Linked DNA regions of Mytilus edulis. The protein of the gene in region 3 purifies or fractionates together with the protein of the main gene of each other region. This does not show direct contact. Links are inferred from orthologs where the notes say so. Each region holds a gene or a part of one and is shown on either strand. Other genes may lie near its edges.

Evidence for each region.
Region 1: the proteins of protein AAR2 homolog (region 3) and pre-mRNA-processing factor 6-like purify together in Homo sapiens (affinity purification with mass spectrometry; 3 studies listed by BioGRID and IntAct, with this or other methods). This does not show direct contact. The link is inferred for Mytilus edulis from reciprocal best matches to the Homo sapiens genes AAR2 and PRPF6.
Region 2: the proteins of protein AAR2 homolog (region 3) and tetratricopeptide repeat protein 27-like purify together in Homo sapiens (affinity purification with mass spectrometry; 3 studies listed by BioGRID and IntAct, with this or other methods). This does not show direct contact. The link is inferred for Mytilus edulis from reciprocal best matches to the Homo sapiens genes AAR2 and TTC27.
Region 4: the proteins of protein AAR2 homolog (region 3) and zinc finger HIT domain-containing protein 2-like purify together in Homo sapiens (affinity purification with mass spectrometry; 3 studies listed by BioGRID and IntAct, counting the BioPlex papers as one, with this or other methods). This does not show direct contact. The link is inferred for Mytilus edulis from reciprocal best matches to the Homo sapiens genes AAR2 and ZNHIT2.

The regions. Positions count from the first base shown.
Region 1 is NC_092355.1:77,114,816-77,123,121, reverse strand, and holds the start of pre-mRNA-processing factor 6-like, read left to right. Parts: upstream 1-4,986; 5' UTR 4,987-5,045; coding exon 5,046-5,134; intron 5,135-8,306. UniProt on the Homo sapiens protein: Involved in pre-mRNA splicing as component of the U4/U6-U5 tri-snRNP complex, one of the building blocks of the spliceosome.
Region 2 is NC_092346.1:91,098,236-91,105,997, reverse strand, and holds the start of tetratricopeptide repeat protein 27-like, read right to left. Parts: upstream 3,321-7,762; 5' UTR 3,228-3,320; coding exon 3,134-3,227; intron 1,067-3,133; coding exon 886-1,066; intron 1-885.
Region 3 is NC_092348.1:58,116,833-58,124,876, forward strand, and holds the start of protein AAR2 homolog, read right to left. Parts: upstream 3,081-8,044; 5' UTR 3,066-3,080; coding exon 2,988-3,065; exon of another isoform or gene 2,944-2,987; intron 2,196-2,943; coding exon 2,026-2,195; intron 1,178-2,025; coding exon 1,077-1,177; intron 1-1,076. Other genes in the region: maternal B9.10 protein-like, read left to right, coding at 6,993-7,303. UniProt on the Homo sapiens protein: Component of the U5 snRNP complex that is required for spliceosome assembly and for pre-mRNA splicing.
Region 4 is NC_092345.1:107,504,244-107,512,534, reverse strand, and holds the start of zinc finger HIT domain-containing protein 2-like, read right to left. Parts: upstream 3,321-8,291; 5' UTR 3,283-3,320; coding exon 3,251-3,282; intron 1-3,250. UniProt on the Homo sapiens protein: May act as a bridging factor mediating the interaction between the R2TP/Prefoldin-like (R2TP/PFDL) complex and U5 small nuclear ribonucleoprotein (U5 snRNP).

The DNA of each region.
Region 1 (8,306 bases), on a different chromosome or scaffold from region 3:
CTCTATCCATATATACTTGCTACGGAGGGAAATAATGATCAAATTGACAATAACATACACAAAAAAAATTACTAATTTACATATCAGTTTGACATGTTTGATTCAATAAATAAGGTTAGCGTTTCTGTGAAAAAATCAAACAAATTATTCGATTTCTTAAACAGGTGATCCATTTATTCAAAATGAAAAGAAAAAGATGATTTCAAGCATTCATTTTAATTTTTTTTTGTCATGCAGGTTTGATATAAATGGTTTTTCTGATGAGATAAGTTGATCTCCATATCACACCTATCATGTCCCTAGGGCTTTACATAAATGTTGGTATCTGCTCTTGTGTCGGGTTGTTGTCTCCTTGACACATTCCCAATTTCCATACTCAATTCTAATTTTATTATTTTATTGCATACTTGAAAATATAGATTTTCTATGCTACTGTTGGACTCACGATGACCAAAAGTGACGAGTCCCTAGACTCGCTTCCAAAACTCCTTAGTGAGAAATATGGTAAGGTATGAAAGGGGAAAGGTAAGTAATAGATAATAATAGAGCCGACTGTACAAGTACAAGGGCTGTTTAGCCAGTCAAGGTCGTCGAAAACTTCCATTTGTTGTAGATAATAATAAATGATATGGGGAAACCCCTTTGTTATCTATTATCACATGAAATACTTATGAACTAATGTGGTGTTATAAATAGGGAAATATCCTATTTAAATGAACATAAGTCAAGAGTTATGAATCCTTATAAGGACGTTCTTATCAACTTAGAAATATCACACAACATTTAAATTAACTTTGTTTAGTTTATGATTTTCACTAATTAAGGGTAAAAAGATTAAAATTTAAACAGCAAAATGACCAATAAGATAACATTTACCAAAGTTCAAATTGCCGAAATTTTCAGTAGATTCCTTATTGGATTTCGTGGTTTTTTATGACGACCTTTATCCATGTTTAGTGTGTTTGCCTGTTATCTTGAGAACTATAATAGATATATATAGACGCTAAGCTTGATTATTTTTTTATTTTTTTTTTTGTATTTAAGCGTTTCTGATAAAAGCTTATTTTGATTATCCACTTAAAAACTATCGCATTAAAATTAATCTGAATTTCAATGTGTCATAGCTCAAAGAAAATTCAAAAAGTCTCGTAAAAAGCTAAATTCATTGGAAGGTTTAACATTAGAATAAGTCTTCGAGCCCTTACTGTTGTACATCAAATTTAGAAACTACCTAGCCTATATATTCATAGACACTTCCGGGTCACATACGATCGCCGTTTTTTTTACTTTTCTAAAATTATAAAGAATAGACAAAATGGTATTTAAGAGGCCCCTCATGGGGGGTCCTAGTAATCACATAATCACCATTTTTTTGCCAATATAATCACATAATCATTAAATATTTGCTTATCTTTAGTAATCAAATAATCATAAACTAAAAATACAGTCCTAGGTAATCAAATAATCATGAAATATTTGGCTTAATAATCAAATAATCATTAAAAAAACGGCCAAGTAATCACATAATCAAAAACCCCATGAGGGCCCTCATTTAAAAAATATTAAAGAATAAAGAAACAAATCCCCATTCCAGACCAAGGTCTACAATTTACTTCTGCTGAAATAATTACCAGTATTATTTTCTAGAAATATTTTTCATAAACTGTTGCTTGAATTGTCTCGTACTATTCGAAATATCTATTTTAAGTATAATTATTCTTTTGAATGAACCATAAGATTTGAGGTTTGTAAATTAAAAAAATGACTTCTCTTTGCCATAAATCATGGTTTATATTGAATCTATGCAAAATATTTTGATTTTTTCAATGCAGTTACATCCTTCAAATAAGAACTATAACATATACTGATACATCAGTTTGAATTCGTTTTGTTGTTACTTCTCTTTGTTATAGCCTTTCAGACCACTTTTGGACAAAATATTGTTGTACACATTTATAAAGCCCAAAACAACATCGTGTTTGAGTGTAAATTACTTTTACATATTTGTATATAATTACAATTTATATAAATTGCTTGATAAATAAGGTATTGACAATTCACGTCGAAACTTAGTTTACACCCCAACTCCCCTCCTACCCCAAAGACACGTACCAAAGAGGAAATCCTGGATAATCATATGTCTGTTCTGTGGTCTTATGGAATTTCAACTAAAGATGATCACCTGGATCTTTCTTTACTGTATTGGATACCAAAATTGTTTAAGTGTCATTAAAGACAATTATTGGGTCCTCCAAGTGCTCCAGGAAATTATCAAAGTCAATTGTATCTGTAATCAATGTCAGGCTTTATAGATATTGTGAATCTACCTTTCTAGTTTGCTGACCAGTGTATTATGCCACAGGGTGGTGAAATCTGTCAAGTGTGGTAGCAAGTAAATGATTTGTTAACTACCGTTGGCTAGTATGCTTGCTGTGTGAAAAGAAAGCGGAGTGTTTAAGTATTTCCTGACAGTACATAGCCTCTAAGTATCTCAGGATAAACGGCAGAAGATATCGGGGTAGCAAGTAAGGGCCCTAGAGATGCAATGTATATGCCTACCGGTGTGTGGACATGTCCTAGCACTTATCAATCTTGTCCCAGCTACGGTATGGATAAAAAGTCGGTAAGAATAGTGTCGTAGCTCAATAAGGCAATTCATCTAGGAGATGGTAACTTTCGACAATAAACCTGGATAGAACGGATTCATTAGTTCAGGACAGCAGCCCTTCTAAAAGAAGAAAATCTTGATCACAAACTCCCTGGTCGTCCTGGTTGGAGTACTAGTGTTGGGCATGGAGTTATCTCCGCCATCATGTAAAAACTATATCAGTTACAGATATCACAGAGGCCTTAAGTTCCACTGGAAATGAACAGGATAAGTAAGTACCTATACTAAATGTCCTCTTTGTCATAATTCAAAGTGTATTGACTATGTTGATCTTTCACAACGAATTTATATCAACCGACACAACAGCTGCAGCTCAGTCTGTATCACAACTTGACTTTCGTCTAGAAATTGACAATGGCCTGTAGTTCTTCAGTTTGGTGTCATTTTGTCTCCTGTAAAGGGTTGTCTCATTGACAATCTTCATGCATACCACATCTTATTTTTATGTTTAACGATTGTCGGTTGAGATCAAAACTTTACGACAAAAAGTTGATCTCAGCTTCCCAATTGTGAACTTTCCATTTTTTATGTAGCAATATTCCAGCAGTGCTTGCATATATAGAGTATATATCTCCCAGTGAATACGATATTCTATGGATCGCGTTTCCTGTCATGATTTCCGCGCTTCATACAAAATGTATTTCGGTTAACACTTTTACACCCCCAATAAAGTTACAATAAACAAAGACGTATAAATAACATCTACTATACGGTCAACACTTTTACACCCCCAATGAAGTTACAAAAAACAAGGACGCATAACTCACATTTAATATACGTCCTTGCAAAAAGGAAGCATTCAACTCATAAATACCCAAACATACAGTTTCGACATAATCTAATTGGATTATATAATAAAATTGAGAATGGAAATGTAATGTTATTTTATGGATCTTATTTAACGACAATTACACTTATTTCTGCACCTTTGACTTTGTTTAGTTTTAATTGAATATGTTTACGTTTACAGAGGCAAAATCTGAACTTTACAAAAAGGGGTTAAAGGCCTTTTTTAAACTAAGAAAACCATTTAATGACTCAACAAAAAATTTCAACATTCGTTCATATATTTGACTACAATTCAGCCAATTTTACTGTATGGATCAGAAATATGGGGTGCTGGCGGTTCCTCGAAACTCAAGGATTCTTCTTTTTTTTATAAACTATATAATCATTTTATACTTGAATGTAAAAAGTTGTAAATATGTACTTGGTGTAAACAGAAAGAGCACAAATAATGTTGTCATGGCAGAAGTGGGACATTTACCAATACAATTGTCTATTTTATTAAGCATCCTTAAATATTGGATAACTTTAGAAAAATCTGAAATATTTTACTAAAAGAAGCACTGGCACTATCTAAAAGCCTACATGAAAAAGGTCACACTTCATGGTATAGTTATATTATTAAAGTTTTGGAGCTTCTGGATCTCACTCCCAACAGTTTACTACATAATAATTAATATTGTATTAACAAAATAGTCATGAGAAAACTTAAAGGATTGTATATAAAAGAATGGAAAATAAACTTTTTTAATGATGTATTAATAACCAAAAAAATGAACTTCGTACATTTCGTTGATTCAAAACAAATTTCAATTTTGAACCCTATTTAAACCTGCTAAACTCGAAACAAATTAGGCAGGCATTAACAAAACTAAGAATTGGGGACCATCAACTTGCAATTGAAACAGGGAGGCACAAAAACATCCCAGCTCATGAGCGTATTTGTAAACTGGCTTTGTGAGGAGGAGGTGGAAGATGAGATCCACTTTCTCCTACGATGCACAAAAAAAAAAGGAAACATATAGAATAACATTTATTAAAGACCTTTGTATTTCTTATCCTAATCTAAAGAAATTTAACAATGAAAATATGTTTATATGGCTAATGGGTTGTGAAAATCCAGAAGTTCTAAAACACCTATGTAATTTTATAATCAGTCTCTAGATCTCGGGACTGAGAGGGATAATTTGATAAAAAAAAAATGTAAATGATGCCAAATTACTGACACCAACCAAATTTAAATTTTATGGCACAAATGGTATCCATAAACAGAAAAAATAACATTTTTATATGTTGAATATATATAAATACTGATCTGCGGTTTTAATTTTGCTTTTCTGTTTATTTTCTCTTTTCTATATTTTGTCATTATATATCATTAAGAATTAATGATAATCATTGTAATAAATTGTTTGTAATTATACTGCTTTCTTAGGGCGTCCTTGATTGACTATAAGAATATTGTATTGTGTATTATATTGTTATGTTATTGAACATCGTGTCACACTGGGTATGGTTCCAGATCGTGATATTTCTTTTAGCTTATTTTATACCGACCGGATGTTGATATTTCAACGTTGTGAGACCGAAAATGTCTGTACAGTCGTTTGTTAGCAAAAGAAAGAAGCATTTCATTGGTTTATCAGCACCGTTGGGATATGTTCCTGGTTTAGGAAGAGGGTAGGTCAATGATGTATACCAAGTTGACATCAGACATTCATGAATTAGTCCCAATTTTGTATTTTTCTTTGATGAGGTTCATGTAAATATGACCAACAGCAACATCAACATGACCAAAACTGGGAACAAACCGAAATTATGTATAATGAATATAATCAAAGGTTCATAATACGGTGCATTTCTTACAAGTGGTGGTGTCATCTATGGAATCAGTGTTTTTGGTGGTACTGTTTATAGAAAGAATGATTGATGGCCATGATGGCTTATTGATATTTGGAAATCTGCACCAGTTGAGAAGAGAATCTGTGCCAAATGACATTATGTAGTGTCTAATTTGTCTGTCAATCGATATTAGAACACCTGCCATGCCCCCACCTGAGTCTGCTCTTGTTTTGTATAGTAATAAAAATACTTAACACAAGATTAACTCTTGAGTTACACCTCATAATACCATAAAACTGTGTATTCACAGGGCCGGATCCAGGATTTTGAAAAGGGGGGCAAAGTTTTTTAAAGATCAGGGAGCAGAGCGAGGCGAAAATTTAAAGGACCTTTTAAATTATAAAATAAGTTTAAAATGCACCCTTTAATATGTTTAACGGTTCCTGACGTCGAAAATGTATATTTTACAGGGTTGGACATGTTTTATGCTGTACTAATTCTCCATATCAAGTGTCTATCATAAAATGATAGTGTGGATCAAAAGTTATGTACTGAATCAGGGATGGGGTGGATTACTTTAAAATGTAATTGATTAAATTACAATTACTTTGCTTATAAAATGTAATCGATTACATTACAATTACACCAGTGACCTATTTCAAATGTAATTGATTGCATTAAATTACTTTTCTTTAGGGTAATCATGATTGCTTGTGATTACTTATGATTACATTGTATATTGCAATATTCAAGAATTTCTAATAACTTTTTTTCCTCATGAAAAACCTAATTTTGGTGATTTTTTTTAAAGCCATAATTTATTAATCTTATTCAAAAGAATTTAGACAAGTACAGTGTAATTTGATAACATAGCTATATATAGACAAGTGTCCTTTCTCTATGTAAAAGATATAACTTTGTTTTTTCTACAAATTTTAACCAAAATACTGCCCAATTCACCAAAAAACTGCTTAAATAATGAAAAATCAATTAAGTATAGTTTTATTGTCTGTGAGGACATAATTGACACATCCATAAATGTTTTGACAGGTGTTAATCACTACTTTCATTTTTAGCTCACCTGGCCCGAAGGGCCAAGTGAGCTTTTCCCATCACTTGGCGTCCGTCGTCGTTAACTTTTACAAAAATCTTCTCCTCTGAAACTACTGGGCCAAATTAAACCAAACTTGGCCACAATCATCATTAGGGTATCTTGTTTAAAAAATGTGTGGCTTGACCCGGCCAACCAACCAAGATGGCCGCCATGGCAAAAAATAGAACATAGGGGTAAAATGCAGTTTTTGGCTTATAACTCAAAAACCAAAGCATTTAGAGCAAATCTGACGCAGTAAAATTGTTTATCAGGATCTATCTGCCCTCAAATTTTCAGATGAATCCGACAACCAGTTATTGGGTTGCTGCCCCTGAACTGGTAATTTTAGGTAATTTTTGCTGTTTTTGGCTATTATCTTGAACATTATTATAGATAGAGATAAACTGTAAACAGCAATAATGTTCAGCAAAGTAAGATTTACAAATAAGTCACATGACCAAAATGGTCAGTTGACCCCTTTAGGAGTTATTGACCTTTATAGTCAATTTTTAACCATTTTTCCTAAATCTTAGTAATCTTTTACAAAAATCTTCTCCTCTGAAACTACTGGGCCAAATTAATCCAAACTTGGCCACAATCATCTTTGGGATATCTAGTTTTAAAAATGTGTGGCGTGACCCTGCCAACCAACCAAGATGGCCGCCATGGCTAAAAATAGAACATAGGGGTAAAATGCAGTTTTTGGCTGATAACTCAAAAACCAAAGCATTTAGAGCAAATCTGACTGCGGTAAAAGTGTTTATCAGGTCAAGATCTATCTGTCCTGAAATTTTCAGATGAATCGGACAACCTGTTGTTGGGTTGCTGCCCCTGAATTGGTAATTTTAAGGAAATTTTGCTGTTTTTGGTTATTATCTTGAATATTATTATAGATAGAAATAAATTGTGAACAGCAGTAATGTTCAGCAAAGTAAGATTTACAAATAAGTCAGCATGACCAAAATGGTCAGTTGACCCCGGAAGGAGTTATTGCCCTTTATAGTCAATTTTTAACCATTTTTTCGTAAATCTTAGTAATCTTTTACAAAAATCTTCTCCTCTGAAACTACTGGGCCAAATTAAACTAAACTTGGCCACAGTCATCATTGGGGTAACTTGTTTAAAAAATGTGTGGCGTGACCTGGCCAATCAACCAAAATGGCTGCCACGGCTAATAATAGAACATAGGGGTAAAATGCAGTTTTTGGCTTATAACTCAAAAACCGAAGCATTAAGAGAAAATCTGACAGGGTTTAATTGTTTATCAGGTCAAGATCTATCTGCCCTGATGTTTTCACATGGATCGGATAACCCGTTGTTAGGTTACTGTCCTGAATTGGTAATTTTAAGGAAATTTTGTCGTTTTCTGTTATTATCTTGAATATTATTATAGATAGAGATAAACTGTATACATCAATAACGTTCAGCAAAATAAGATCTACAAATAGGTTTACATGACCAAAATAGTCAATTGACCCCTTAAGGAGTTATTGCCCTTTATAGTTAATTTTTAACATTTTTCATAAATTTTTGTTAATTTTTAGAAAATATTTTCCACTGTAATTACTGGGCCAAGTTCATTATAGATAGAGATAATTGTAGCAACAAGAATGTTCAGTAAAGTAAGATCTACAAACACATCACTATCACCAAAACACAATTATGTCATGAATTTATCCGTGTCCATTGTTTAATATGCACAAGACCAAGGTGAGCGACACAGGCTCTTTAGAGCCTCTAGTTTTTTTTACAAACAACAGGTGAGCTTGGGTACTAAAGTTTTATTGTCTTAATTGCAATATCAATAATGTTATAAGTGGTGAATTGTCATAATTTGTTTGAAAATTTTGAATACATGTACATATATATCATAATATTTATGGAAAACAAAATTTATTAAAATTGTCAAAAAATGAA
Region 2 (7,762 bases), on a different chromosome or scaffold from region 3:
TGATCAAATACAAACTAGATTTTACACTTTGACAGAATTCATTTTCCTGTTTGTCATAATGGTCAGCTCACTGTGGATATCATAATCCAAATAAAGAACAACATGAACAAACCACATATACTTTTTCAGAAAAGATAACAAAGACATGCTAGTACAATGAAACTAACCAAACCCTGTTTAAATTAGGACTTGTTATAGGTCCTACTTTACAACCTCACTTCCAAAATTTCTAATATCAAATGCTGTACATGTATGTGTTAATCAAACAATTGCCTCATATCTTGACCTGCACAAGAATGAACATTGATTGATAGTTTAGTCTTAGAGGCATGATTTTTTTTTATTAGTTGTAAGTGGCTTTGAACTAGCTGTCAGTAACTATGCGTAATATTATATCTGCCTTTTTGTTGTTGGGATATACAAGAACCCAGCCACATCCACTCTGTAGTACTTGTATTTGTAACCATCTGATATGTTAAGCCTTTTTTCAACTGAGTTTTATAGTTCCTTCTTATGGTATACTGTTACACCACTGTCCCAGGTTAGGGGAAGGGTTGGGAACTTGCTTACATGTTTAACCCCACCACATTCTGTATGTATATGCCGGTCCCAAGTCAGGAGCCTGTAATTCAGTGGTTGTTGTTTGTTTATGTGTTGCATATTTGTTTTTCACTAAATTTTTGTATATAAATTAGGCTTTAGTTTTCTCTTTTGAATTGTTTTACATTGTCATTTCATGGCCTTTTATAGCAGACTATGTGATATGGGTTTTGCTCATTGTTGAAGGCTGTACGGTGACATATAGTTGTTAATTTCTGTGTCATCTGGTCTCTTGTAGGTGTCTCATTGTCAATCATACCACATCCTCTTTTTTTTAATACTTACCTCAGTATTCTATCACCATTTTCTATAAACTGTGGGATATTATCCTGTAACAATAGATCTATTCTTTCTCTGTTGTTTGTATTCACACTAAGAACTTTTCTTGAAACTTCGCTGTTTAACACACTGTCAAATCTGGATTGTTGGAAATATCTTAAAATGTCTCGATCAGAATCAGTTATACCTGAAGAAGATTTGATACCAGAAACAATTAATTCAAACGCTATTTTTTCAGATCATTTGTTCATGCATGACAAGTAAGAATAAAACATAAAGAAGAAATCATAAGGCTACATTTCTAGAAAGTTGAACTCAAGCATTATAAATTAAACAAATTGTTCACAAGACATAACAATTACATTTTAAAACTCTGTCAGATATCAGTATCCACAGAAAGATATGTTACACTACATTTACCATGACTACCCAGACACAGTATTCTGACTAAGAGCAGATCAGTCTCTAACTCATTGATGTCCTGTTTTTAGTGGAGAAGCAGTATATCCAGTTTAAACCAAAGACTTTAAACTAGAATTACTGCTTCTCACCCTCTTACATTGTCATATTAAAATTGTAAATTGTAAATTGATATCCCATTTCATGTGTGACGGGATTGCTTCCCTTTGAGAACTTAGTAGATACTTAGTCAGACGTAAGCGGTTGAGCTAATGAAGTACTTCTTTAGCTCAGTCGGTTTACGCGCTGCCTTGTAACACAGAGGTCCCGGTGGAGACAAGCAATTTTGTAATGAAATTTGTGCTCTCCGGTTACATTGGCGCCAAACAATAACAACCCACGGTTAGAAGAATTACCTAGCCAGGTTAAAATATAAATATATAAAAGATGAAGATATCATCATTATAGAGTATAATGACTCTTGAGGTGGGGGAGTGTGACGGGATTGCTTCCCTTAGAAAACTTAGTAGATACTTAGTCAGCCGTAAGCGGTTTAGCTAATGAAGTACTTCTTTAGCTCAGTCGGTTTACGCGCTGCCTTGTAACACAGAGGTCCCGGTGGAGACAAGCAATTTTGTAATGAAATTCGTGCTCTCCGGTTACACATGATTTGGGTTATTTTATCTTTTAATAAATAAATTTGGTGTATTTACTGTCTTCTGATTGGTTAAAATTATTAGTTTTATTTTCAATGTTGTCAATTTTTATGGCAACACGCCCACTCTGACGTTGTGTATTCATACGCCAACATGTGCTTACGTTGTTATTGTTAATATGGGGACGAAGTCCCCAATAACAGTAGAAAATTCAATAAAAAAAAAAATACGGGAAAATTTCCCGAATTTTTCATTGTACTAATGAACTCAAAATCGTTCAATTTTTTTTATGTCATGTTTTGAAATCCCGGACCTGCGCAGAAATGTACAATATACTTCCTTTTTCCGGTCTCGTTTGTATGAAACTTTGAGTAAAATATATATTTATCAGTCTAGTATAAAATAGGAAGGAACGAGCAATACTTATTTCATTTTTAATAATTCCTTGATATGAAAAAACGTTACCTAATGATAGCGTTTCTTGTTTACATTGCATATGACGTCATAATTTAAATAACGTCACAACTAAAATCCCTAACAACAGAACCAAAATCGGAAACGTTACTGTATTTCCGTGTCTTTTTTTTGGACAAATAATTGAGTTACAAAAAAATAATTCATACAGACTTCGTCCCCATTTACAGGTAATGCCTGCCTCATATTATAAATAATATAAATAATATAAAAAGTTCTTTGAGCGTTATTTTTGATGAAAATTTATTTATAATGAATGGCAATAATTTATTTTGATTTTAATGAACCATAAAACTAATTTTTGACTCTTCACATTTTACATAATCCGCTTCGCGGATTATTCAATGTGAAGAGTCAAAAATTAGTTTTATGGTTCAATAAATTCAAAATAAATAATAGCCATTCATTAAATGGGGATAGTTCCCATTTACAAAAATCTTCCAGATTTAGCTAAAAAGACTAGAAATTGAGTGTTGAAAGATCCCCATTGAAGGATACCAAGGAGGGAGACTCAGGCAGATCCACATCCAGGCTGTCGATCAGTTCTTGTGTCAACTTGTGGAAAAGCCGTTGATCTTGGTTGAGTGATACATTTTTTTCTCTCTCTCAAAAAGTAATGATTAATCTTGAACCCTGTTGTATTGAATAAAACTGCATGATTTCATACAAATTATAGTTAATACAGAAAATAAACAAATATTACTGTCATTGCAAATCTAGATTACCGTCAAAATCTTTTAATTCTTCGACGTTTTGTGGCTCATTATTTGATAAGATGTCATTTTCAAACTCTATACACATCTTCTGTTTTCTTTCCATGGTTGAAAATAAACACAGACGTACTGCGAACCAAAATATTTTTTTTACATGTGAAAATTAATGGGAGCTGACATATTGGAATTTTTAAGTGTCATCTCGAATGCGGTACAACTATGTGTATATTTCCGAGTTTTCTATTTTTCTTTCATCTCTATTGTTTCTAATATTCTCATGATTGGTTCTTTGCTGTTCTCTTTTCTTTTTTTTTTTCATTGAATTATAAAACTTGTGTTTTAAAAAAAAGTATTCATATTTATAACACAAATTGCTACGTTATGGTTTGGTAATTTTTTATTTGAGGGGGGATTCTTTTGCTGTTGTTTAGGGACAATCTTTTGAATTTCTGTGTTTGGGGGTCAGATAAAACAGTAAAAATAGATGATCAACCAGAACAAATCTTCCTGAAAAGACTTTTTACAAGACCCACTGGTAATGTTTCCCTGGAGCTCTTTGCCCATCCTCCCCCTCCTTTGTCAAATTCATGGATCCACATCTGAATTTATTCAACATTCTCCAATGATTAAAAGTCACATATATATGGGTCTTTAACAATAACCAAAACATATTTTTTTTCCTAAAAAAATATTCTGATCCCCAATGTTGATGAAAATAAATGTTGTGGTCAAGCAGAAAACAACAAAAAAATCTGAATCCAGATTTTTCAAGTACCAAAATATATTTTTGAAAAATTGCTTTAATTTATTTTTGACTCAGACAAAAAACCATATCCACCTTAAAGTTCAATGGTTACTCTCTATACTAGATAGCAACCAACAACAACCACTGAAATACAGGCTCACAACTTCTAACAGGCACATACAGAATGTGACAGTGTTAATTTAATGTTCGTGAGTGTTCAACCATCTCTCTAACCTTGTATAAAAATATAACATCAAATCATAAGAAAAAACAGTAAAAATCAGTTGGAAATGGCTTGACTAATTAGATTGATACAAAGCGCAAAATTACTAGCATAAAGACAAAAGATACAAAGTACCAATCAAAGCCAAAACCAACTGACCAACTGATAAACATATAATTTCTCCCAAACTGAAGTATCAAACAGTATACTCCAATGGAATCAGTGGAAAGATGTCATAAACAGTCTGAGAAAAGCAGAAAAAAAACTAGAATTTTATTGTATTAAATATTAACGTTAAACATATTTGTTTTTCATTTATTTTTTTATATAAATAAGGCCGTTAGTTTTCTCGTTTGAATTGTTTTACATGGTCTTATTTGGGCCTTTTATAGCTGACTATGCCGTAGGGGCTTTGCTCATTGTTGAAGGCCGTACAGTGACCTATAGTTGTTAATGTCTGTGTCATTTTGGTCTCTTGTGGATAGTTGTCTCATTGGCAATCATACCACATCTTCTTTTTTTATATTTTAACCTTTATGTAGCAATATTCCAACAACAGCTGCATATGAAAACAGAAAGTTATTGTATTCATGGGCTATAGTTTTACCTTTCATGATTTCCTGAATAGAGGGTCCATTCATCTATGGAAGCTGTCTCACAGAGGGTTATTCATGGTACAATCAAGTTCATCTCTTAAAATTTTTTAGACACCATCATAATATGGTTGGACAATATGGAACATTTGAATCACAAATATGATCAACTTTTTGTATACACAAAACCATCCTCATTTCCTGGCATGACATCACCTTATGTGATTTTTTATCAGACATAAACTGCTCATGGATTAGGAACTGTTAATATAATTATGGTTGCAGATGACCTTAGTTCACCATCCAGTTTTGGTAACAGGTTTGGGATCCCGCTAACATGTTTAACCCCGCCACATTCTGTATGAATGTGCCTGTCCAAAGTCAGGAGCATGTAATTCATTGGTTGTCGTTTGTTTAAGTGTAACATATGTGTTTTTGTAAATTTTTGTACATAAATTAGGCTGTTAGTTTTCTGCTTTGAATTATTTTACATTGTCATTTCTGGGCCTTTTATAGCTGACTATGTGGCATGGGCTTTATTCATTGTTGAAAGCCATATAATGACCTGAAGTTGTTAATTTCTGTGTCATTTGGTCTCTTGTGGAGAGTTGCCTCATTGGCAATCATACTTAAATCTTCTTTTTTATATAATGTTTCTCATTGTACAGCTTACTGTGTAGTGTTTTTTTAATATATATACGTAGGTTGTCTGTTAATCTTTTTGTTTTTGTTTACATACATGTTATCTTGTTTCCTTGTTCATGATTATCCTCTCTCCTGTATTTAGGCAAAATTGAAAGTCATATTACACAGTGTAAAACATTCATACCAGATTCTAAATCCGCTTTTTAAAAATTTTGGGATGAGGTGATTATTTTTTATTTATTTTAATAGAGACTCAAGGATTAAGTATGTAACTTTGTATGATGTTAAAAACATTATTTATCAACTAGTAAAACTTCATTAGTGTATTTATTCAATGTATATGTACTACAAGTGTTGAGACTAAAAAAATATTGAATCTGAATCTGAATCTATAATAAGTTCAAAATGTCTAAATCATTTGTGGTCTTAGATTCTTCATTTGACATAACAGAATGTTTTTAACAGGTAATTGCTTTGATCTAATTTCTATTCAATACTACAGGGCATTTCATAGCTGATTATATGGTGTTTTTATTTTTAGAGAATTAAGTGTTGGTGAAAGACCAATGATGTTTTTTTGTTAAATATATTGGCCTTTTTTTACTTTAAAGGTCCCAACCCATAAAGAGCTTTACCAAACTATTCTTAACCCCCAACCTTACCCTAACCCATACATAAACCTAACACTAGCACTAACCCTAAAACCTAACCCTAACCTAAAACAGCCCCATACCTAACCCTAACCTTAAACAGCCCCATACCTAACCATAACCAAGAATGAACCTTAACTCTAAAGTATAGGGACACTTGAAGTAAAAGAAGGCCAATTCATTCACAACTTTTCTAACCTGTACAGCATGACATATTGTATACATTTGCACCATCTTGTGTATTATGTTGAAAACCATAAAACGATATCTAAATGCCAAATTTTGTGTGTAGGGTTCTCATTGACATATATACCTCACATCTAATATTCATGGTATTTTAATAGGACATTATAACAATTAGTGTATCATGGCCAATTATAAATGCATTAGTAGGTTAAATCTTTTAATTGGCTTTACATAAAACCAACATTAACTTATAGGTAACATAATAAATAATACAGAAATAAATACTGAAGTAAAAAAGACACAAAAAGTCATATTAAACAGTGTATAAAATTTAATCCTATTTTTTTCACATATTATTCCTTTCTCTTTTTAAGAAATAGTGTTTAATACTAATAGCAAATCATAACAAAATTCTATATTCAATACTTTGTAGCATCATTTGTTCAACCAATAACCTTGTTTACCATCATTATGTAATTGTCTTTTTCAAAGCTAACTTTTCCATATATTAAAATTGATTTTTAGCACCATCCTTGCATATCAGTATCACATGAGAGTACTAATTCAAATTGATCACAACAAGACAGCAACCCAAAAATCCAAATAAATATTGTTTGGTCATAAATCCGGCAGTTGGGTTTCAAGTTTGAATTGTTCAGATGTGTCGTGTCAAGGCTTTTAATAACTGATTATAAGGTATAAGTTTTGCTCATTTTTGAAGGTCAGATATATATGGTGAGCTAAAGTTGTTTATATCACCACCATTTTGACTGTTGGATAGTTGTCTCATTGGCAATTATATGACGTCTCCTTATTTCTATAAAGTCAATTTGTTTATATTTATTGAATATCAATCTTAACATTGGAGGAAGCAAACTTTGTTAGTACATGTGTACCAAGCAAATATTATCCTTTACTTTGAAGAAAATTTTCAAATCACAAAATGATATCATATTACCCTCATTCTAATTTTTTGGATTACATGTATAGATATATGCATGAACAGACATATACACATTCAAACTGTAAGATATGTTGTTGTTATCAAGGTTATTGCTATTTGTGACAGACAATTAAAAGAAATGCAAAAAAAGCACTTTATAGTATATTGGACGGATAGTGGTATATTCTTATTTAAATTTGAATGTCGTTAAAAAAAGAAAATTTCAGTAAAGAAATATTTTGTCAGGCTGATAGTAAAACTAACATTCTTTTATATATATTTTTGCATAATAATTATAATTCAAAAAGTGTCATATTTCCATGGGATCAAACTGCTTTTAGTTTCCCATTAACAGAATATACTAATCACTAATGGCTAATACCATTGCTGAACGAAATTGATCCCTCTTTCTATTAAATGAAATAAGAAGATAATTTGAGTGAACTTTATTTCCTTCTAAATGAGCAATGGTGGGAAATTCAAAACATGATATATTTTTGAAATGAACATAATTTGCTTCTTCAAAATGTATTAGAAGAAAAATCTAGAATCTTATTTTGGTAAAAATGTCACATCCAACTTTCAACTTTCTTGTTATCAAATATATATTGAAAAAAACCTAAGTTAATGTTGTTCTTCTCCTGATTTGTACATCT
Region 3 (8,044 bases):
TCCATCTGTGCTTTTTCTTTTGAGAACCCTATTAACATGCCAATGGTAGGATTTGTATCTTGTATAAATGACAAAGGCTAATTTCTACAGTACCCTACTTTCATTTTGGCCAAATCACTACTTCACTTTCAACAATAAATTTTTTCCACATGTTTTACTTATTTTTATATGCAACTGATATGACCCCTTAATTAGTAAACATTTCAAAGAAAACAGTATACAGAATACAGAGAGTCTCTATATATTATAGTAGCATAATCATAGTATACATGAAGATAAACGCGAAAATAATGTCCTCTCTCCAATTACTTATGCAAATTTAAAAACAGAAGTCTTATCTATTTCTAAAAGTCAGTCTGATGATGGAAACAATATCAGGACGCCTTTTTTTCCGTATTTCTCCCAAAATAACTGAATCTGAATATTATTAAATCATAAGAATGGATGACAAATGCGACTATGCATGGTACCTATAGGACACAGAGGCATGATGATTAATTTATTGTGGAAGGAAGAGAAGTGACACACAAAATGAGGTCTTCTCGTTTAATAGTATAGATATTAAACCTATATCCTTGCACCTGTGTTTTTAATCATAAAAAATGTTGAGGACTTTAACATTAAATCAGAGTGACCTCACAGACACTTTTACTTTTACACCTAAAACTTTATTAGGTACTGTACAACTGAGCAAATTTCCTATCAGCTATTGTGAGTGATTTGCTCAAGAAAAAAAAAAGTTAATTTCGCTATTTTAAGTGATTTCCAAGACCATTACTATCTGAGGGAATTTTTCTCAATGAGAAATTTAGCAATTTTACCATTAATGAACAAAACAAACATCAGGCACATTTTAAAATATCTAGATTGATGGTACTTCCTTCAGACATCATTTAATTTTAATACAGGGAAACCTATCTGAACCAACGCCTAATAAAACCAGGAACCTGCCTAAATTGAACAAGTGTACCAGGACAAACCAGCCAAGTCACTGAATATTCTTTAGAAATTAAACCTTATTAAACTGTATTAATTCTGCCACTTTGACTTTGACAATTTGATAAAAATAAGGTTACCTTCTAACAATCTGTTCCATTTGCGAACAACAATTTCTTTCTTTCTGAAGTTATAGAAAAATCCAGTTCTAGGTGCTGTTTGACCTTCCTTATTACAGGCGCTGAAATGTAAATGAATCTTAATAAATATCTTAAAAACGTAATGTATAACATGTATAATGATAAATTGAATGTTTGGCCCTATTGCCATATTTCAAGGGCTGTCTTTTGTGAAGTTATATCATTCAGAATAATAAAAGTGACAAGGCTATTTAAGGCTATTGATCTTCCACCCATGAAATATTTGCACCACCCTTGGATTTTAAAAATGAACGAATAACAGGGGAAAAAATCATATAATTACAGATTACTAGTAAAATCATATTCCTGATAATCTAAAACAATAAGCATTATTTTCAAAGAAAAGAAAAATATGCCTTAAAATTTTTGATACAGAAAAAGTTACCCCATTTAGACCCTCTAGCATAGCAATGATGAAGTCAACGCTTGATTTCTTTTAGTGAAGAAATTAACCTGAATTCATCTTGTGTTGAAAATTACTTAGTATCTACAGAGACTGCTGAATTAAAAAATACAAAAGACCATAACATGTAATTTTGTCATTCTCAACATACAGGAACCATGTGTCTGTGGAGTGTGGACTTTGATAATTGTTTTGTCTAAACTCTGAGAACAAATTATACTGTGGTTTCATTAATATTTGTTGGATACCAATTTTCGAGGATTTCCTGAGTGACCAGGGGAACCATAAATATTCAATGGATTACATATTTTCTAAAGGAATGAATGCAGACTTTGCCAAAACCACGAAAATAAATATCTGAGACTATGCACGTTTTCTTCAAACCACGAAAATCGGCACCCAAGAAAATTAATGAATCCACAGTATTTAATCTAGTACTTTTTTCAATATAAGTGACAATAATTTAAATCAATGTAAGTAACATACCTATAATAAACAAAATGAAGACCTGCAGGAATCATTTTAACTCCTCTGAACTCTGGTCCGACATTCCATGAATTATAATCAATACCAAATTCTGTTCCAACTGGTACATCAAGGAATACAAAAATAGCACCTTCTTTGAACAAGGTTTGAGCTGTGTCTTGATCCATGATCTGTAATTTAACAAAAGAGTAGATAAATTAGCCCTTCATCCAAATTACAATGTATAACCCTAATCATCTTTTGTGTGTAAATTTGAATCTGACCAATAGGTCATAATAGCTTAGCCTTAATATGAAGATCTTTTCTGGATATAATTCCAAATAAAGAGTATCCATAGTTTTCATTTTAAAATTGTGATATAATTATATCCTTAACATGCTAAAAGAAATGTCCAACACCAGAAAATTATACATAGGGAATTGTTAAAGGAAGTTGATAGTCTAATATATTTACAAAATATTTCTTCTTTTTTCAAATAATGGGCTTCGTATTGGGGATACTTTCATGACAAATAAGGGTAAAAAATCTTGCCACCTGATGTTATCATTAAATTTTGGTGCATGACGATAAAAAGTACATTTTTTACAATGATTAAAAAGAAATTGACTGATTTTGACAAATCACATTAAATTCTTTCCAACAATTACGGTAACGGTTAAATATTTGAGACCTCTGACGAATTATGATGGGGATATTTTGACAAATCACGATAGGATTTCAACCAATTATATGCCTAACAGTTAAGGGTCATTCCTGCCCTCATTAAGAGCAACATTTATCATGATGTGTATAATTTTGTGGTTTTCATATAATAATTCATGTTTGGGAGAGTGTTTTTTTTATACGTCCTTTTTTTCTCTTTTGTCATAGTGTTTATTTGTCCTTCGACTTATGAGAACTTTGCTTACTACTTCTTACATTAAAAATACAACATCAAAGCTTAGAGGGACATGCAAACCGACATCCAAAAGTGAGGGAACGTCTAAAATTCGTTTTCCCAATGTTGAGGTTGTGGCCAGATTATCCCTACAGAGAATCATTGTAGTATCACTAAGTACCTAAAGGGAACTTAAAAATAAAAAGCAACGTACATGAAAGAAGCCAACTCGCCCCACATGTCAAATCGCCCTAGACCAACTTGAAGTTAAGGGAGTGATCATATTGTACAAAAAGTAGAAAGTTTATTGTTTCTAAAGGAACCTTGGATAGAGACATTGCTATCGGTTAAAAAAAAATACATTGCTATCAATACCCAATATATTATATTCATAATGCATGAACATGAAATTCATGAGGAACTAAAAGGTTGTAAAATAAATTTTAAAAGAGTTCAGCCATGATTTCCGATTACGGGCCCCAAATGACCGCAATTACAACACTGTATATTGTAAATTACATTGATTTTAATTACACATATCATATAAATGAGGATAAGAATAAAATTCGTATAAGATTATATATGATAGAAAAGATTTGTATAATAAGAATATATTAATCCTTGGTAATATTGACAAAGTTTTCTTACAGAGGTCCACTTTTCTAAAATTAGCAAGTTGTATATACGATTTAAAAAATTTCAAGATACTTGAATGAAAAATAGGCTTCTACTAAGGAAAGACGAAGAATTTATATAGCGTGACTATGCAAACCCTTTATCAGACCTCAAAAATATTTTTATGTACAGGTTTCCCCCATAAAACTCTGATCAAATGTGAAAGAGATTACAAAAGAGATTATCATACAATTTTTAAAATATTTTAACTACACGAACGATTCTCAATTGCTTAATAAAAATCGGTAAAACCAGGATGTAATTCGAAGGTTAAAATTTGGTGAAACGCTTGGTTTTAATTTCGTAAAACTGTTTGATATTTTCGATGTTTAAATAGACGATTTCAGAACGTTCACAAATAATAGTTTAAAATTGCTTTATTTCAAAACCTTAACAATCCATTATACCTCCTGAAATATTTCAGAACCTCCATCACCGCATTTCAGGGTAAATATTACAAAACCTCTATTATTCTATAATTCGAAATATGCAGATGTCCTAAAATAATTATGGAGTTCCATAAATGTATTGGGGCAACTTGAAATTGTGCTATACATATAGTTCCAGAATTAAAAGCAATGTCACAATTTACTGATTTCTGTGCACAAATAAGGACTCAGAGGGTAAACGCAAGAAAACGAAACCCTATTTTAACATTACTTTACATCGAGATTGTAGGGCAAGTTATTACAGTAATTTTTCTGTGACATAATATATTAGTTATCCTTTTCCCAGGATTTTTCTTTTGCTAACTATTTATTATTTAATACTCGGCAGCTATGCATGTCAACATTTATAGTGCGTTCTTGTTGTTCTGTTACACCACTGCCCCAGGTACGGGGAGGGTTGGGATTTCGATAAAATGTTTAACCCCGCCACATTATGTGTCAAAGTTAAGTTCAAATTCATTATTGTAAACTCTCAGACACATAAAGTGTTGCAAGAGGAATTCAATATAGTCAAATGGAAATGGAAATGTGTGTATGTGCCTATCCCAAATCAGGAGCCTGTAATTCAATGGTTGTCGTTTGTTGCTGCATGTGTAACGTATTTGTTTTTCCTTCATTTTTGTACATTAATTGGGCCATTAGTTTTATCGTTTGAATTGTTTTACATTTGTGATTTCGGGGTATGGGCTTTGCCCATTGTTGAAAAACGTACGGTGACCTATAGCTGCTAATTTCTGTGTCATATGGTCTCCTGTATAGAGAGTTGTCTCATTGGCAATCATACGTTTTTGTTTATATATGATGCTTATTCGATATCTAGAAAAGGTTTTCACGGACTCATCTCAAACCAGGGACAGGTCTTGAACTTGCAGAGAGGTGAGTTTTTTTCTCTCTCCATGTAAACTTTATGAATAAGAACAGACGGTACTAATTTAAAAGCGCTATTCCTTTTCGTTTGTTTTCTTCGTGTGCGTTTAATGGTTTTGTGACATTAATTGACACACCATATCATTTTTTAAGCAAGACAATATAACCAAAATAGTATTTGTGGTCACTAAAAGTTCGCTAAGCTGATACTACTGTATATCTGTACCTTTTTCAGTAAATCTTTTGATTGAATTCCCCAAAGTCAGTTCAGCATACCATTTCAAGGCTTGAAACTGAACAAGGATAATGAACTTATTGTGTGGATTCAGGCGAGGAGGGAAGGTGGCGGGCGTGCACCTCCCCCGTAAAATTTGCAAAGTATGGGTTGTCCTCAGCTTAACTTAAAGAATATTTCGATAATTTTACCCCAGTAAACAAAAATGTCACTTTTTGCTAATTAACTTAAAATACTGCGTCCGCCTTTGTAATAAAACGACCACAAAATTATACAAAAGTCAGGACAAATTGCGATATGAGTATAACATAAGTCAGAGATCTATATATTGATTAGATTGGTGTCCCTCGTAATTGAAATCTGACAGATCTGCCATTGACCGTAAAATTGAGGCAAACATTCTAATTTGGCATTAAAATTACAAAGATCATATCATAGGGAACATGTGTACTAAGTTTCAAGTGGATTCGACTTCAAATTCATCAAAAACTACCTCGACCAAAAACTTTAACCTGAAGCGGGACAGATGAACGAACGAACGAACGGACGGACGTCGGAACGGACGCAGCACAGACCAGAAAGCATAATGCCCATAAATAGAGCTTAGAAATAAAACAAAATGTTATAATGAAGGCATGAGTGGGAATGTAGGCGCTGGTCGGTTGAGACTGCTCCGTATTTTACACAAGTAGTATTAGGAATATTGTGATATAGCATGATCCGACTTAACCAGCTCAACTTATCTAAAATGCAGTTGCTTAGAAAAGATGTAGCATATTTTTTTTAAAAATATTGTGGAAGTCAGAGTGGCTTCTTCCTTTAATTATGAAGGTAGGCTATACTGGCCGTGAGCACAGACCAGCGCTGGAATAATGCATGCATGGATTCTTTTTTTGAAGCAACCGCTACGTTAAATCATATCGCGCAAGTGAATTGTCAATGGGCCCGGCAATAATTTCATCTTCCAGTTAGATATCTGTATATAATTTATGTTGTCTTATCCTTTAGATCGATTGACGTCAGTTAGATCAGTAGAGTAATGAACTGCTTATTGGTCATTGAAGATGTATAGATCATGCTATCACGGTCACTCACAGAGACATATATCTTTTTCTTTATTTGAATATGAATGGGTTTTGATATAAATTTATATATATTTATGGGTTGACATTTCCACAAGACTGTATTAATCTCAGCAGCAGCCGCACGTCTATACCGACTATACCCAAAATCCTATGTTATGATCCCCTTATTTGTAAACATTGACACGTGTTATATTTCCCGCGAAATGACGTTATGTATTTCGTAGCAACTCGTCGACGGAAACAGTTGTTGATTGGATGACCGCATTCTGGCATTGCGCTTTAATGGTGGATCTGGTCAAGTATTTACAGTAAACAAGATATTATTTTCAAGAGTACTTTATTGGGTATGTTGATATGTTTATACAGCCATCCATAGTATTAAGTTGAAACCAATATTCAGACTAGTGTTTTTAGTTATCAAAATATTTCAAAGATTGTTCTGGAATGTTGTGAACTTCGCGTTGGTGTTGTTCGTGAATCATCGAAAATAAGGAAATAATAATTTATGATAAATTCCTATTTCTTCCTCAGTTAATACAGATTAAGATCTTTTCAATTTGTTGTACATATCATTAACTGTAAACAATCCATCAGACTATGTTGTTTTGATAAATTTTATAATAAGGTTTTAATGACTTCCAGGCGAACAAAGAAGACAATAACAAACCGAAACCGAGGCTTAGAAAGTGTTGACAGGATCTGACAGATTCTGTTGTGGAAAAAGCGGAGTTACAACTTGATGAAGATTTTTTTAAGTGTTAAAGTGAAGAACATTAAAAATGAGGGACGAAATTGCAGCAGCAGTGGTGTTTTTATCACGTTTAGTACGGCAGTGCGGTAGCATCCCAAATGAGAAAATGGAATCCTTCTCAAGTAGTCTTTCAGCAGTGCTGGTAGAGAAATTTAAGAACCACTGGTATCAAGATTTTCCAGCTAAAGGACAAGCTTATAGATGTATAAGAATCAACCCTGAAGAACCAAATGACCCAGTAATGGAGAGTGCTGTACACAAATCTGGTCTCGAATACAAAGATCTCAAGTTGTTTTGTGAACTGACACTATGGGTTGATCCTTCAGATGTCTCTTGCAGGTAAAAACAAATTTTTTTTGTATTTTATTGATAGAAGGAAAATGTGTTTATGTTCTTTAAATTTAATGTCATAATGTTGATTACTAAAAGTATGGAGAGCCATTTAAGCCAAATAACAGTATTTAGGATAGACTAATATTATGGTCCGGGACTCACCGGTTAATTTTTATGCAACTTTCACAGAAGATGATGTGGAAACCTTATAAAAAGATTTTTTTTAATCGGAGGCTATGAAAACATTCATTAGTAGTTTTATTTCACTTGTGGTGAGACATGTGATACTCTTTGACAGCGAAGTCATCAGGAATCTCCATGACCTGTTTAATGATGGTGTCACCAACCAAAGATCCTGCCATCTTCAAGTGATACCTGTTATTTTCAAAATTTGTTTTTGTTTCTCTAGCCACCACCAATTTTGTGAGCAATTATAATCAATTAACCCCTAGGCTTGTATTATAATTCAAAGGGTTCTGAGCTGCTGATTACAGTTTTCAAACCAGTGTTCTCCCCAGAAATTTTGGATAGCATCACATTTGGCGTAAAAAAATAAATTGTATTTTTTTTCAATGTAATTTATCGTGTCGTGGCAACGCTTTATTTCCTTTATGTTATATACATTATTGTTTATTACAAAATGTTTTATAATGTTTGTATGCTATAGGCCCTTATTTGGTAAATAAAATATTCTATTCCACCCTATTCATTGTTTTTATATTGTTGAATTCATAACTGAGAATACAA
Region 4 (8,291 bases), on a different chromosome or scaffold from region 3:
TATCTGCTCTTTGCTGATGACTTACTAATCATTTCAGTGCAATCCATGAATAATGAAAATCCCATAAATTTGTCTGTTATCTTCAGAACACTGCTCATTTACAAGTCCCAAAGGAGCAATTTTTGAAGGCCTTGCGTAAATACTTTTTTTGCGCAATCAGTTTCTTTGTTGAACTAATGAGATGAAACATTGAACTTTAATAGAAAAAAATGAGCATACCTGTGAAAAATTATAAAAAGGCATGATTTTACATCTCAAAACTTGAGGAGTTTGTTGGATTGTAAGAACAATTTACTTATACTAAAAAAAAAATTGAGAAATGAAGGGGAGATTATTCAAACATTTTTTATTTACTTCTTAAAGTAAATAAAAATAACTTGTACAAGTAGTACCCCTGACTGTCGAGTTGGCACTATTAAATCATTGTGGTTTATCTTTTTGTCAAGAGTGGGGCGAGTTGGAAGAACCTTATGTCAGCAGGATGTTAACCCTTGTCATAAGTGGAGCATGTTATCCAACCTATTTGCAATGGGATTTTAGCCTTTTTCATAAGAAGGGTGAGTTGGTAAACAAGAGTGGGGGGGGGGGGGGGGGGGGGGGGGGGGGGGGGGGGGAGTTTGTGAAAAAGTGGGGTCATTAGGAGTGGGGTGATTTGTCATGGATTCCTTCTATAAACCTGATTGTTATTCCTGGCTGACCTAGCCGCTTGAACTTTTGAAGTCATACAATAACACTTTTCCATTGTGGCGTCTAATATTTTGTTTTATGACGTCAAAATTTTATGGGAACCTGTGTGATATCCAGTAATGACAGATAAATATCAATAAGTTCCAAGACAAGCTTTAAAGATTTATGGCTTTGACTGTCCCTCTGGTATCTTTCGTCCCTCTTTTAAAGCAGTGATTTTCTTGCCTTTATTTTGGGTCCAAATATAGGCCCCATTGTCAATTAGACTTGAAAAGCGACACCTACAGGAAAATATATTTTCGGCTCTCTTGGGAGTTAACTGGAATATGAGGACAAAAGACAGTATGTTCCTAATAATTCCTGTCAATTTTTACATGATTGAAATTTTAAAAAATACCAGACTTCAGAAAAGCATAACATTTATCATGTTTATGGTAAACACCCGAGAGTGCCGAAAATATATTTTCTGATAGGTGTCGCTTAAGTACTTTCATTTTCAAATGTAGGGCCTCGATTCGTTCTATTTCAAAAATGTCGAGTTTGTTTTATGGATTACAATAGTTATAGATGTTACGTAAGGTAACAAATATATGTCATTGGAGAGATAATTCAAGTGGGAACATATTTATTTAGGTCACAAAGTAAGTGAAAGTCTTAGAAAAAAATTACAACAATAACTTGAAGCATTGTCGCAAATTAGCTTCCTTCCTTGTGTTTTTTTAGGGATTCGTATGGATAGTAAACCCGGCAATACACCTTATTGCTATTTAGTCTATTCCTGGAAAAACAGTCATTTATACAACTTCCTGTTTAGGTCACGCAGGCCGAAAATGGAGGTCATCAGCAGTGAGCTGAGGGAGGAAAAACTTTAGAAAGTGATCATCAAGAAACTTTGATAGAGTATGATCCACTTTTTTTCAAAATTAAAATTGAATTAAAAAAATATTTTGTTTGAAGTATTTACGGTAGTTTAAACAGGTCTCATTAAAAAGTATCATGCACGGTGAATTGTTTAAACAGGGTCCCAGATATCATCGACTGGATGAAAAAGTTGTGTAATTTTAGAACTTATCCGGAATGGAATAAATATCCTGTGATGAGATTGTCAAACTTTTGGGTATTGATATTGACTATCAACTTAATTTTAATCACCATACATGCCATATTAAAAATATTTGTCGTAAAGCATCCCAACAACTGAATGTTTTAAAGCGCATTGGCAGCTACCTTACTTAATTGAATAAACTGACAATTTTCCACACATTTATTTTATCTAATTTTAATTTTTGTCCTTTGGCATGGCATTTTTGCAACAAAAATAACACCACCAAATTGGAAAAAATTCAGGAAAGGGCTTTATGATTTATATATGAAGACTATGTTAGTTCATATGATGAACTACTTTTACGAGCAAAGGTTCCATCACTGAAAATAAGACGTATGCGTAACATGGCTATTGAATGTTTTAAAATTTTATATAAATTGTCACCACCATGCTTACATGATTTAGTTGTATTGAAAGACTGTAAATATAATTTTAGATATTCTAATATTGTAGATATATACCTAGGGTCCGAACAACAACCTATGGTAAGAACTCTTTTAAATACACAGCTGCTGTTCTATGGAATGATCTACCTGATGATTTTAGAAAAATTGCTAATTTTAGTCAGTTCAAAAATATTTTAAAGTCATGGAATGGAAATGACTGTAAGTGCACAGTTTGTGCAGACTTTTAGTTTATATATTATGCAAATTTATTTACCATCTAGATCAAATCCCATTTTTTTCAATTTTTATGCTATGCATTTTTACAAGCTTTTATGCCTAGTTTACACTTATATGCTTTTAGCCTTAATACCTAGCTTATGCTTATATTCTGCTTTTAGTGCTTCATTTTTGTGCTGTGATATTTATTGCATGTGTACTATATTATGTATTGTATTGTTATAAATGTTGTACTGTTATATAATGTCTCATATGTCGGTTAAAAGCTCATTAGAGCTTATGTTTGTCTATGTTTTATATACATTGTACCATGCCGACTCTAAATAAAGCTTATTTATTATTATTTATTATAGCGATTAGGTGTATACACCTTATCGCTATTTGTCCGCCATTACTGGATATCACACAGGTTCCCGTAAAATTATGACGTCATAAAACAGAATAGCTGACGCCACAATGAAAAAGTGATTGTTGTATGCGTCAAAAGTTCAAGCGGCAGGGTCAGCCGGGAATAGCGATAAGGTGTATTGTAACAAGCCCCTGTGTTTTATCATTCGTGTAAAAAAAACCATGATGATATATATAAAAATGATAACATGTATCCCTCATAATAAGGATAGTCATTGCATTGTGAGGGGTTGTTCCCACAGGCACTTGTTTCTATCCTATATATCTATCTTCCCGTCAAGGAGTGGACTCATTTTTGAGTGTATATATACTCTATAGGAAGGTTAGCTGCGGAACCGTAGCTCTAAGGTCATTATGATATTTTTCGACTATTTGCGGACCAACTTAGTGTAATTAGTGTGGTGAGATTATATAGATAGATACATACAATTTACAGACGTTTTCTTCACGATTTTCCATGTTTGGGGATCTTTTATCTAAGGGAGAGGAACTTGAAGAATATGTCTGACTCCATGTATGTTCTGTAGCTTCCTCCGTTGGTAGGAGCACCTGCTATAATCTCTCTTACCTTTATAGAGTAACCATATTTTCAATTGTAGAACATTACCTGTGCTCTCTTCAAAAACAGTGATGATAATCACTCCACCATATGATATCTTACCATATTTTAAATGAACAAATAAACTTTATTTCAAGAGGATGATTCCCATTAGTTAAACCTATTAATTCTTCTTCGGAGTCCTCAAAATCCTAATAACATATTTTTTTTAAGTACATAAGTATTATAATGATATATTATACACAATATACAATTGTATCTAAAAGATACAAGTGTATCCAGTTACTCCTGAACAGGCCCGTAGCCAGGATTTTCCAAAGGGGGGTTCGTTTGACTCACAAACTCGAGTTTAACAGTCACAATTCGAACAGAACATCGACTTTAACAGTGCTTATTAGTTTTCAAGGGGGGGTTCGTCCGAACCCCTCGAACCCCCCCTGGCTACGGGTATGCCTGAATATGTAAATGTTTCCTTTCTTTCATAACAACTTCCCCATATATGGGTGTTTTTCAATAAAAGCGTATCTTTCAGACCTAAAAAAAAGTGGAAAATCAACTTGTCTAAAAAATAATTTCAAGAGTTATTTTGAATACCTCTATTATAGACCTGTTTGTAAACAAAAATTGCAATCTTAAATATTCTTTAAAATGATATCATTTTTCATAATTTGTGTACTGTTTCGAAGGGGACTTGTGTCCCCTACGAAAATTCTTCTTAACACACATATTTTTTTGCAATTTTAAATGTTTCCTATAGACATTCCAGTTTGTTTACTTTAAAAACTAGAAAAATCTATTTTTTTTCTGAATTGGAAAACCATTTTTATCGATAAAGACTAGACAGTACTTCACATATGAAGGTACAACTCATGTTACGTAGTGGACATTTTGATGCGTTTCGTAGTGGACAAAACCGTTTCGTAGTGGACAAAACCGTTTCGTAGTGGACAAAAAGTTTCGTAGTTGACATCAACCCTATTATATATTAATAAAAACATAATAAAAATTACATGAAACTAACCCTTGTTATTTGTTTTGCACGAATTTAATTGAAAAAAGATTAAAAAAGACTGCATGGTAGTGGTAGTGTCCACTACGAAACGTTTTTCTCCCATACTTGTTTCGTAGGGGACCGTTTCGTAGGGGACGTATTCGCATGTTTTATTTTCCCCCACAATCCCTATATTGCTTCAATCTTAAATTCAAGACTAATAAAATTTTCAGAAGAAACATTGTTGATGAAGGAAAATCAATTTGGTTTTCGTGAAGGTTATTCGACAACTGATTGCATGTTCGTTTTGCATTCATTTTTTGAAATTCTAAGAAATAAGAAAAAGAAGCTCTTTTGTGCATTTGTTGATTTTGAGAAGGCATTTGACACTGTTCGACGGGATGCTCTGTGGTATAAAATGCTTTTAAGTAAAATAAGTGGCAAAATGTACAACATTATCTTTAATATGTATCAAAATATCAAATCATGTTTATCATATAATGGTAAAAAATCTGATTTTTCCCATGCGAAAATGGTGTTCGACAGGGTGAAATTCTATCACCCTTTTTATTTTCACTTTTTTTAAATGACTTAGAAGATTTTCTATGCCAAGAAAATGTGATTGGTCTACAAACAGTAAGCAAAGACATTGAAACACAGTTAGATATTTATCTAAATTTATTTGCTATACTTTATGCGGATGACCCGATTATTCTTGCCGAAACGGCGACTGATCTCCAGGCCTCTTTAGATAAATTTAATACGTATTGTAACATATGGGGACTCAAGGTGAACGTTGAAAAAACAAAGATAGTAGTTTTTACAAAGGGAAGATTACAAAAGAATTTAATGTTTAAATACAATAACTCAAATATCGATATTGTTAAAGACTTTAATTATTTAGGGGTATATTTTTCAAGAACTGGGAGTTTTAAAACGGGCAAACTTCATTTGGCAGAAAAGGCTACTAACGCAATGTACGATGTCTTACGAAAAGGAAGAAAACATAATCTTTCTATTAGCTGTCAACTTGATCTTTTTGACAAACTTGTTAAACCAATTCTTTTATATGGCTGTGAAATATGGGGATATGAAAATATTGACATCCTAGAAAAAGTTCATTTAAAATTTTGTAAACTCCTTCTCCATTTAAAACCTACTACACCTAACTATGTTATATATGGAGAACTCGGTCGATACCCTCTTAATATTGATATAAAAATCAGAATGATATCATATTGGATAAGAATATTAAAAGGCAAACAAGAAAAACTATGTTTCATTGTGTTTAAATTATTGCTGAAATTAGAAAATGATTCTACTTTAAAATCTTCATGGCTAAATTATATTTCCAACATTTTTAATGAATGTGGTCTCTCCTACATATGGAGTTATCAACTTATTTACAATTATGATTGGCTAAAACATACGATTAGAACTATTCTCCAAGATCAATTTATCCAAACTTGGAGTGCAAATATTAATAACAGTCCTAAAACGGTTAACTATTGCATTTATAAAGAAAGTTTTGCTTTCGAAAACTATATCAACAAGCTAGACGACAAAGACGTTTTCACTCTTTGTAGATTTAGAACCGTAAATCACAAGCTCCCAATAGAATCTGGTAGATGGAAAAACATACCCAGAGAAAATCGAACTTGTAACTTATGTAATAGTAATGAAATTGGAGATGAATTTCATTACATTTTAGAATGTACATATTTTTCTGAAGAAAGGAAAGAATGTATAGATGAAAATTTCTGTACTAACATTAATACTCTAAAGTTTAAAGCAGTTATGAATTTTTCAAAACAATCAAAACTTAAAAAGCTGTGTAAGCTCATTAGAACCATTAATACAAAAATGAATTCTCTCTGATAAAATGGAAGCCTCCAAACTATGCATTCTTTTCTTCTCTATTTGCTGTAACCTCACCATGTTTTATAATATTATTGTGTATGTCTATGTATATCTGTATACCATTGTATCAACATAGGTTCTTCAGAATAAAATATATATATAAATTGCGATAGTATAAAGATTGACTGTATTCACCAAAGCATGTATTAAGCTGTACAATGATATTTTTTTCATAATTTTAAAACCAGATACTGAAGGAGATTTGACCCGTTTCGTAGTGGACATTTACAAAAATACGGTATCACTTTGGTGCATTTAATGTGCTCAATTTTTCTTACCAACAATTTAATTGCCGTTATAAAAGCATCACTTTTTTTGTAAGACCCTAATGTTTATATCTCTTGCAAACAAAAATTACACTGATTTTATAAAACTGTTTATTAGCAAATTTTAATGACTTCGTTTCGTAGTGGACATTTTGTTAGGGACACACCTTCTGAAATTAAAAATCCCATGTTAAAAGCTGTTTATTAAAATATGTTGGCTAGAAACATACTTTTGAATTATCAAAGAACTTATATTAAGTAAAAATAATATTTATTTCTACACTTTTTTACGACATTTTTGAGTACGAATGTTGAACAGGCGGTCTAGGGACATGCCATTTTGGTTGTTTTGGACCATTCAGGAATCAATATCTTATCAATCCCTCTAAAAAATAAAATGTTTCTTTGCTTTAAAATGTTTAATCTAATTCAATGTACTCACTGCACAAAAAATTACTTGCAAAGATCAAACACACGTTTTTTAAAGTGGCTAGGACAAGAAAGTACGTTTTTATTGAAAAACGCCCATATTGCAACAATAATCAATCAATGGCAGAACATAAAAGGTGGTATAGGAGTCTAAATTAAAAATGATAGAATTTGTTCATACCTTGCCAAAACGTAGCATCTATTGATATATGTTGAAATATATAATAAAAATGATAGGTCACCGCGCATTTTTTCAAGCTACAGGACGCGACAAAATGACACATTTTGTATGGATTATACAGAGAAAAAAACATTTTGTGGTCAGAAACTAAACAACATGATAGAATTGTTAAATACTTGAGGAAAAGATAGCTTTCAGACAATGCCTTGAGAATTTCAAAAGAAAAGATATGGTCACCGTGAGTTTTTCCGACTAAAATACAAAATAGGAAAATTCCATGTAGAATCCTTCAGAAAATGCACTATTTAAGAGTTATCTCCCCTGAAAATGGCAATTTACAAAAAATAAAAAAACAATCAAAAATAATCAATTTTTGCAAAAATATTAATATTTATAAGTTATATTCTTATAAATTACAAGTAGAATTAAATTTTCTAATGGTCTTAGCCCATCGTTTGAATCAAACTGTGGTGTTAAACAAGGAGATGTATTGAGTCCTCTTCTCTTTAATTTTTTTATAAACGACATACTTAAAGACTTGGAAAATATCAATGCAGATCCAGTTGTAGTTGGTGATGTTTCATTAAATGCACTTTTGTATGCAGATGATATTGTATTATTATCTGATAGCAAAGAGGGTTTGCAAAATTGTCTCAATACATTAAGTAATTATTGTTCTTCATGGAAATTGCAAGTCAATACAGAGAAATCAAAAGTAATGGTTTTTAATTCAAACGGAAAGTCTTTTCTGAACGAATTTTATTATAATGGCAAATCCTTAGAGACAGTTAATACTTATTGTTACTTGGGTATAAATATTAGATATAATGGCAGTTTTAATGTCGCCATCACTTCGCTTATGGAAAAAGCTAGGAAAGCGTATTTTAAAATAAAGAAAACAATAGGATTAGATAACCCTTGTAAACTTCTGGAAAAACTTTTTGATTCCTTAGTAGCCCCTATTCTCCTTTATTGTAGTGAAATCTGGGGGATTATTTCGACATTTAAAGACAGTGATGCCTACGAAAAGTTGCATATAAAATTTATTAAAGAAATCTTGGGAGTACACTGTAAGGCTTCGAATGATGCATGTCGTTCCGAACTTGCAAGACTGCCATTGAA